2 linked regions of the Xenopus tropicalis genome follow. Each later gene encodes a partner of the first gene's protein in a complex. Links are inferred from orthologs where the notes say so. Each region holds a gene or a part of one and is shown on either strand. Other genes may lie near its edges.

Evidence for each region.
Region 2: the proteins of samhd1 (region 1) and dcaf1 are in contact, whole or in part, in a crystal structure (PDB 4CC9), measured with the Homo sapiens proteins. The link is inferred for Xenopus tropicalis from reciprocal best matches to the Homo sapiens genes SAMHD1 and DCAF1. Residues at the interface, in NP_056289.2 of Homo sapiens: Ser616, Arg617, Val618, Gln619, Lys622; in NP_001336097.1 of Homo sapiens: Asn1090, Glu1091, Asp1092, Thr1114, Gln1116, Asn1132.

What each region holds. Positions count from the first base shown.
Region 1 is NC_030686.2:42,463,907-42,467,725, reverse strand, and holds part of samhd1 (deoxynucleoside triphosphate triphosphohydrolase SAMHD1), read right to left. Parts: intron 3,140-3,819; coding exon 2,979-3,139; intron 1,400-2,978; coding exon 1,284-1,399; intron 1-1,283.
Region 2 is NC_030680.2:127,300,161-127,304,441, forward strand, and holds the start of dcaf1 (DDB1- and CUL4-associated factor 1), read left to right. Parts: upstream 1-1,376; 5' UTR 1,377-1,719; intron 1,720-4,281. UniProt on the Homo sapiens protein: Acts both as a substrate recognition component of E3 ubiquitin-protein ligase complexes and as an atypical serine/threonine-protein kinase, playing key roles in various processes such as cell cycle, telomerase regulation and histone modification.

The sequences.
Region 1 (3,819 bases):
CAGAGCTAGTACAGAGAGCTAGTACAGAGCTAGTATACAGTGCCGGAATGGAGCTAGTACACAGTGTCAGTACCTGCCAGTAACAAGACCCCTTGATAGTGAGAGTTAGTACACAGATCAGGAGAATATGAAGCACAAGCGTAATGTAGTGCTCAGTGCTTAGGGATGTATAGGCAGCAAGACAAAAGTGTAGTGAATACACACCCAGCCCCCAATGTCTGCCCAACCCCCTTATGCCTGTTCTCCCTCTGACCAGCGCCTGACCCCTGAGGAGGAAAAATAGACCGTGGTCCCTGTGATCCCCTTCAGCCAGAGTCTGTGCCGGAGAACTGCCTTTTTGCTTGCTCTATTCAGGATGGAGAGCGGAGAATGGCCATGCGATCCGGAAGGAGAGAGTGAGCGCAGTGAAGAGAAGCGCGCGAAGAATGGCGCGAAGTAGCTGACGTCACGCGGCGAGCAGGAAGTGGAACGCATAGGTGGAACGCATAGGTGGAACGCATGGTGGAACGCAAGTGAATCGAAGGAACGGTAGAGTCGCATGGATGCCGTAGCTTGTAAGGTAATAGGCAGAGAAGCATGGTTGGAGGCAGAGGCAGGGCACAGACAGGCAAAGCTGAGCAGGGGGGATATGGGAACCAGGCTAAGGGGCAGCGCTGGGAGCATGGCTAAAAATGGAGAAGGCATAGTGGAAGAAAATAGGGGGGGGGGGTTGGTCGGGCTGGTAGCCTGCAGGGAGCCTGGCTACTAAGTTAAAGGCAATTTTAAAGCTGGATAGGGGCCATGGCACTTAGGAAACGCTGGGCAGCTTCTGCACTCTGTGTTCAGAGGCAGGGTATCTGCGGGGCTGTTCAGTAAAAACTTACGTGCCCCAGCGTCCTTAAATTATTCCCACGTAGGGGGAAGCCTGAATAGAGTGGCTCCTGTTGGAGACCTGTTGCCAGATTGAATCTGGCCGAAGAAATACTTGAAGAGAGAGATGATGATCCTGTCTCCTTGTGGGACACTAGAAAAAAACTGGCGAAGGCAGGAAGTACTGGGGGGTATAGCAGCAGGGAGGAGGGGTTAGCTCTCTTCTTCCTACTCTAGTGTCCTGCCTCCTGCTGGTACCTACTATACCCCATGGTCCCTGTGTCCCACAGACGACTGTTAGAGAAAAATACAATTGCAATACACTTGAGAATTGTCATGATTTGTTTAAAAATAAAAAAGGGTATGAATTTGCCGACAACAAAAAAGCAATGGTCATAAATACCATTGTGTCAACTGTTTGCACTGATATTTACCCAGGTCGTGACAAAGTCCGGCTATCTGAACACAAAGCATGTCCCTGTGGTTAATCTGAAGCTCTGGTTGTCTCTCGTGCAATGCCTGAACAAGACATCCAGCCAGGTATCCCACTCTGTAAAGTAAATCAAGAAATAATAAAGATGGTTCCACGGAATTGATTAACAACACAAGAGCATTTGGTTTAATTTGCCAGTAGCCTTCTCCAAAAGTTCTTATGGAAAAAGCACCCAACGTGGTCATAAAGAGATTGTTCATGGCAGCAAAAAGCACATACAGGTATGGGACCTGTTATCCAGAATGCTCGGGACCTGGGGTTTTCTGGATAAGGGATCATTCTGTAAATTGGATCTCCATAACTTAAGTCTGCTAAAAATCATTTTAATATTGAATAAACCCAATAGGCTTGTTTTGCCTCAAATAAGGATTAATTATATCTTAGTTGGGATCAAGTACAGGTACTGTTTTATTATTACAGAGAAAAGGGAATCATTTAACCATGAAATAAACCCAATAGGGCTGTTCTGCCCCCAATAAGGGGTAATTATATCTTAGTTGGGATCAAGTACAGGTACTGTTTTATTATTACAGAGAAAAGGGAATCATTTAACCATTAAATAAACCCAATAGGGCTGTTCTGCCCCCAATAAGGGGTAATTATATCTTAGTTGGGATCAAGTACAGGTACTGTTTTATTATTACACAGAAAAGGGAATCATTTTTAAAAATTAAACTTATTTGCTTATAATGGAGTCTATGGGAGATAGCCTTACCGTATTTCGGAACTTTCTGGATAATGGCTTTCCGGATAAGGGGCAGAACAGTGTGGCAATCATTCTCTCAGCATTATAGAGTGTAAGCTCTTTTGGGCAGGGCTCTCTTCACCTCTTGTATTGGTTATTGATTGCTTTATATGTTACTCTGTATTTCCAATGTATGAAACCCACTTATTGTACAGCGCTGCAGAATACGCTTTATAAATAAATGTTAATAATAATCTACCAAAGACTACACATACTGTATCTTGGGAACAGCAAAGGAGTTATCCAGGCTCCCAATCTATTAAGACAGATAACTACTGTTTCATTCTGGTTACGGTTTCCCTATTCCTTATCTCTCTTTGGCCAGCTGCTAAGCACTCAGGAAGTGAAACACTATTATAGCATCATGTTGCAGTTAGGAAACAAAAATAACAGTAAACCATAATGAGGAACCTCAAATACTTTTAAAGGCACACAAAGTCTTTGCGTAGGGACTTGCACAACCTCCTACAGACAGGAACACAATGGAGACCCCCTGGGTAAGGGGCAGCCATATTGGAAACCCCTGCTGTTAGGAAACAAGTGATAGATGCGAATAGAAGCATTTGTCCAGAGACACGCTGGCAGAAAACCCTGCAAAGAATTTTAATGATGTTGTCCAAATAAGTACTACCTGTAACCGTGAAGCACCTTTCCAGTTCATTTCTGGGTTATTAATGAAAAGCTTAAGTGACCTACATTGTTTCTCAACCAAAGGCTCCACTGCTCTAACTTCAGTGCATATAGTTCCACTCTTGGTTCTCACACAAACATTAGCGTGGAAAATAGTAAATATGCCTAATGTTGGTAAAGGGAAGGCAGAAATATGCCCTTATTTTCCCCAAAGGTGTAAAATATTGTATAAAAGGATAAGAGAGTTAATCATTACTATACCCAATGGAGTGCTCGAATCTGTTGTGAGAAGCCCCAGGGAAGACATAATAGGATCCACCGAGCTGTTTGATGTATCTCAGGCGCTGGAACTCAGGGGTGTCAATGATACGGACTAGCAGTGGGTGCAACTCAATGTGGCCATGGATTGGGTCATTGAACACCTGAAGAGGAAAATAAACAGGAATCAAGATAATTGGGCACTGACAGTTTTATGCAAAGAGCTAAAATGGCAGGAAATAACTTGTCCTGAAAAAAGAACCAGCTAAAAGATATTTGTTTATTCATTTGAAAAGGTCTCCGTTTCAAGTACGGACAGAAAGGAACAATAACTACAGCGGGTCTGCAAACTGTATTCTGGCAATTTCATATCAGTAACCAATCGCTGTTCATATGCTCCTATGTTGCCATCAAGTAAGCCTTTTTGGATATTTTTACTCTGCCCCTATGAATGAAGGCATTCATGCGACTTTCCAAAGCATAAAGGAACTGGCTGATCATGCCATTAGCTGTGCGCGTGCCAAATCTGGCAATATCCAACCAGCAAGCCCTTTAAAATCCAAGTCTGGGAAGGATTCTGTAGAGCACAGTGGGTAAAGGAGATACCCTTTATACCACTTCAATCCCATGCAGAAGTGGCATATAGATGTATCTATCTCTTTTAAAGGGTAACTCTGGCTTCGGAACTAAGATTTGTTAAAGGACACAACACAGAAACCCCTAATATCCCTATCACTGTAATCTGTTCCTTCAAAAAGTCTGAATAAATACTATTTGTATATGCTGAAATCCAGCTGCAAAACAGTTTTTCGCTTTCCGCGTCATTTGAAATCCTGGCAGGGGA
Region 2 (4,281 bases), on another chromosome or scaffold:
TTACTTTTGATCCTTATCAGGGAGGATAGATTTAAAAGCAAAGAAAAGTAGTGTTCTGGCTATGTTAGACATCTGCTCACTCCAGCCTTTATACATGCACATTTTTGGTTAACTATATTGAAAATATTTTTTTATTTTGCAAAGCCTACTTACCGAGTTTCATTTTTACAGTGAACCATTTCTTTAATGACCCCAGGTGGCAACCCTATTTCACCCCAATTACATATTATGCAGTCATAAAGCAGTGGCCCCAATCACATACTATCAGGGGTGCAACTGCATTGAGCAGAGTGGAAAAACTCACCTCAGGTGAAACGCGGGGGGTGGCAATAAGCCTCCTGGTAATTACTGGAAATTTGATTTATAAGAAGCAGGGCCGCTGCTGGCCAAATGGGTCACTAAGCAGAAATGTACTTTTGTGCCCCCTCCCCCAAATATTACGGAAGTAAAAATAAAATAATAAAAAAAAACACCTACTATAGGGGCCCCACACACAGTGCCCCCATAGACAATGCCCCCATAGTAAGTGCCCCCATAGATTGATTAAACTATCTGGGACAGCGGGATGCGCTATAAAAACCGGCGGGACAGTGTTGGGGGGTATGTTATAATATATAGAAATGTTTTTTTGAACAGCTGGGATGGTGCCCCCCTGGGAGTTGGTGCCCTATGCAGACTGAGTACTCTGCTTATAAGGAGCGGCGGCCCTGATAAGAAGAAATTCTGTCTCATCTAGTGCAGAGTTCTATTGCGCTCTCTGCGCTAGCAATACGGCCCCCCCAACTAAAAAAAACAGCGTGAAGAGGAGGGTGACTTCCCCAGGGCTGCACTAGGGACTGAAAAGCCCCTGCATATTATGCATTAGCCCCAAAGTAGCCCCCGGCATTTCATGTACACAGAGACCCAAACAGCCCCCCCCAGCCCAATAAATAGTGACTGTCTATGGCACCTTACAGCAGCCCCTCTGGCATTTGCCTGAACCCACAGATTGCCAGCCCAGGCCTACTAAGTCCCAACAAGAGATGACACAGTGGTACCAATATTAGTAAAGACGCCCCTACCAATCGCTTTTTGATACAGTGGCCCCAACAATTAATGCCATAGTGACCCCAAGTCTCAAAGGGTTGTTTGAAATTTTAGGGAGTAGGGAGTAAGTTCGTGTGCGGTAGAAGGAAGAGACAAGAGGTGTATTGTGGCAATGAGAAAGCCTGACAGGCAGAAAAAGAGAAAATGTGACAGCTGTATGAGGGCGGGGGCGCTGGGGAGACGAACCAGCGAAGGGAAAGTCATAAAGGGGAGACCTTGGAGAGAGGCGTGAGGGGGTGGAGCTAATAAGATATGTTGGCGCTGTTTTTGCTCGTCGTAGAACGTCCTAAACTGGCCGCCGTAGTTTCTTTGTAAACTACACTACCCATAATGCCACTCCGCTCTGTAGAAGAGGGAAAAGCGAGCGCGCAAGGTGGTGACGTGTAAAGTGAGCGCCGCCCAAGCGGCTGTAGTGAGGGGAGAACGTGAGAGCCAGGGACAGGAGGCGAAACGTAGGGGCCGGAGTGGGGGACAGCGCTGCAGGGAAGCAAGGAGCGAAACGAGGGAGAGGCCGAGAGGGACGGGCACGGAAGGACAAAGAAAGGGACCCTGAGTGCAGGACGCGAGTGAGAAGGACTCGGGACACCGACTGGTACAGAGTCGGGGAGAACAACCGACATACCGGTTACAGAAGTAAGTGGATATTTGGCGGATACATGCCTTATCAGAGAGGGGAGGCCTGACGCGGGGGCTGAGGTGCAGCAGGAGTGGGGCAGCGGCAGCCGCCGGGTCTGTGCGGGGAACTGCTCGGGCGCCAAGTGGTGACAGTGACAGCTAACGGGGCTGGCAGCACGGCCGGTCCTGTGTGGGGAAACTTTTTCCCTCAGGAGGCCCAAGTATAGAAGGGAGTTTCGAACGTTAGACTGTCACTGTAAGCAGCTACATACACATGTTCTGTAACTAACTTCTGCTACATTGGTTTAACAATCGCTAACAGTAGCGCAAAAAGGAACAGACAGTTGCAGGTTTCTATGGCAACTGATAGAAGTATTTAAATGTCTGTATGATTTGTTGCTTAGAATTGCAATTTCTTTCCTTAAGAAACATTGTCTATTTGGGTTTACATCCCATTTATTAACTCTTTGCTATTGTGACAAGGCCATTTTTGAGTTTGGGGATCCCATTTTTGTTCTGACTTATAGGTTAAGGAACCTTACACTGTACTGCAGCCAGAAGCCCTCTGGCATTTGGTGACCTGTAACTTGCATCCCACCTAAGGGATCCTGACAGTCGGAGTCAACCATGGAAGACTCATCGGCAGGGCAGCTATGAACTCCATTCATTTTTTTATTTACATGGGGGCCACTTGATCTCTAGTTCCTTCTCTGGGCATAGGTGGGCTTTGAATAGACAAGCCAGTAAGATGAAAAGCAATGGTGCTGGGAAAAGCTAGAAAGGTAAACAATCCAGGTATGAAGATATGTAGATGGGGATGTCCATCTGCTGTTGTGACCTGCAGCTCCCTGGGGCATGTTGGTAAAATGTAGTCGGGCAGATGGCAAGGATACATTTTGATATTGCTGGTTCCGAATAATAATGGTGAAGAAGGGAAATCCTTAACTTGTGGCTTTTATAATGAATGAGTTATGTTTTTGAATGACTTCTAGGGATGCCAGGTGCTGTAATTTAACAAAAGTTATTGTGGGCTTAGCTGCTTATGAGGATTGTAGCTCAGCAACAGTATGAGAACAGCGCAGCACTCTTTCAAACTCAACAGCCATTTCACTCCACTTTGCTTTGGAGGGGGGGGGGGCAGTGTGGTTTCCTTGGGCTAATGCACCCTGAGCACCCACGAGCTGGATTGTCAGTCTGTGTCACACAGGCAGATGCAGTGCTTCTGGGTGCAGGCACAGTTAGAATAGTTTTCAAGCCTACTGACGGATTGTCTGTGGGGCCTTACCCTAAGGGCTGGTATGATGAGCCTATTAATGATTTGACAGGGACACAATACTCTCTATAATATACAACTAAAAAACTCAAGGATGCAGTTTGTGTGATGAACAGTATATGCAACATCTATCAGAACACTGGTGCAAGACCAGAAAGGGAGCATTTAAAGGACAACTAAACCCTAAAAATGAATAAGGCTAGAAATGCATTTTATATAATAAACTGACTGCACTAGCTAAAACTTTCAGCATCTCTATAGTTGTAATGATACAGGTCTTTACAGTTGTCACGGGAGCTCCCCATCTTGGATTCTGTCTGGGATAGTGCACATGCTCAGTGGCCTCTGAGAAGCCAAGATTAGGGGTTGTCACAAATTATCAAGCAGAAAATGAGACTGGCCTGTCATATAAACTGATGCTACAGGGCTGATGATAAAATCCTGATGCTAATTGCACTGGTTTCAGAGCTTCCATGTTATGTGAATCTGAATGAATTACTTATCATTTATATTCTATATATACAGTATATAGTGAGTGGGCCCCTAAGCTCAGTAAATGAAAGCAGCACAGAACATGTGCAGGGAATCGGCAGAAAAGAAGATGGGGGGGCTACTGGGGGCATCTTTGGGGGCACAGATCTTCCATACTAAAGGGCTGTGGTTGCCGTGAAAAAAATGCATAACATTTCTAGCCTATTTCTTAAGTTTGGCTTTAGTGCTACTTTAAAGGAGAAGGAAAGTCATTTTGGCATTTTACTGCCAATACATTCACCACATTAGTGCCACCTATAACAATATATTTATTCTGAAAAAAGCATTACCGTACCGAGTAAAGAGCCCTAGAAACTCCCTCCGTTTGGCTGCTTGGGTAGCAGGAGAAGGGAGAGAGCTGTGAAGACTCCCAGGAATGATGAATTTTTCTGAGAGAGGAAGTCAGATACCAAAGTACATGTATACACAAATGAAGACAAGAAATCCTGTGTTTCTTTTGATAGAGGACTCAGTGCAGCTTTTCTGTGAGTGCTTATGGCTGTATTTACATAGACCTTGCTGATAAAGCTTACTTAGTTTTTGCCTTTCCTTCTCCTTTAAGGAGTCTGAGTTTTCTCAAAATGTGCTTAGGGGAGCTCTCTCTTTAACCAGTCTTTAGTTCCCCTTTAATTGGTAGATTTAATTTGGCCATGTTGGCACTGGAAGTCTTTTAATAGCTTAGAAGAGCGGGTATCCTGAACAGCTTACTGAGAAGTATTTAAACATAAGTACTCAACTGGTCAGCAAAATTTTGCTTATGAGATTGTCTTTCTCCC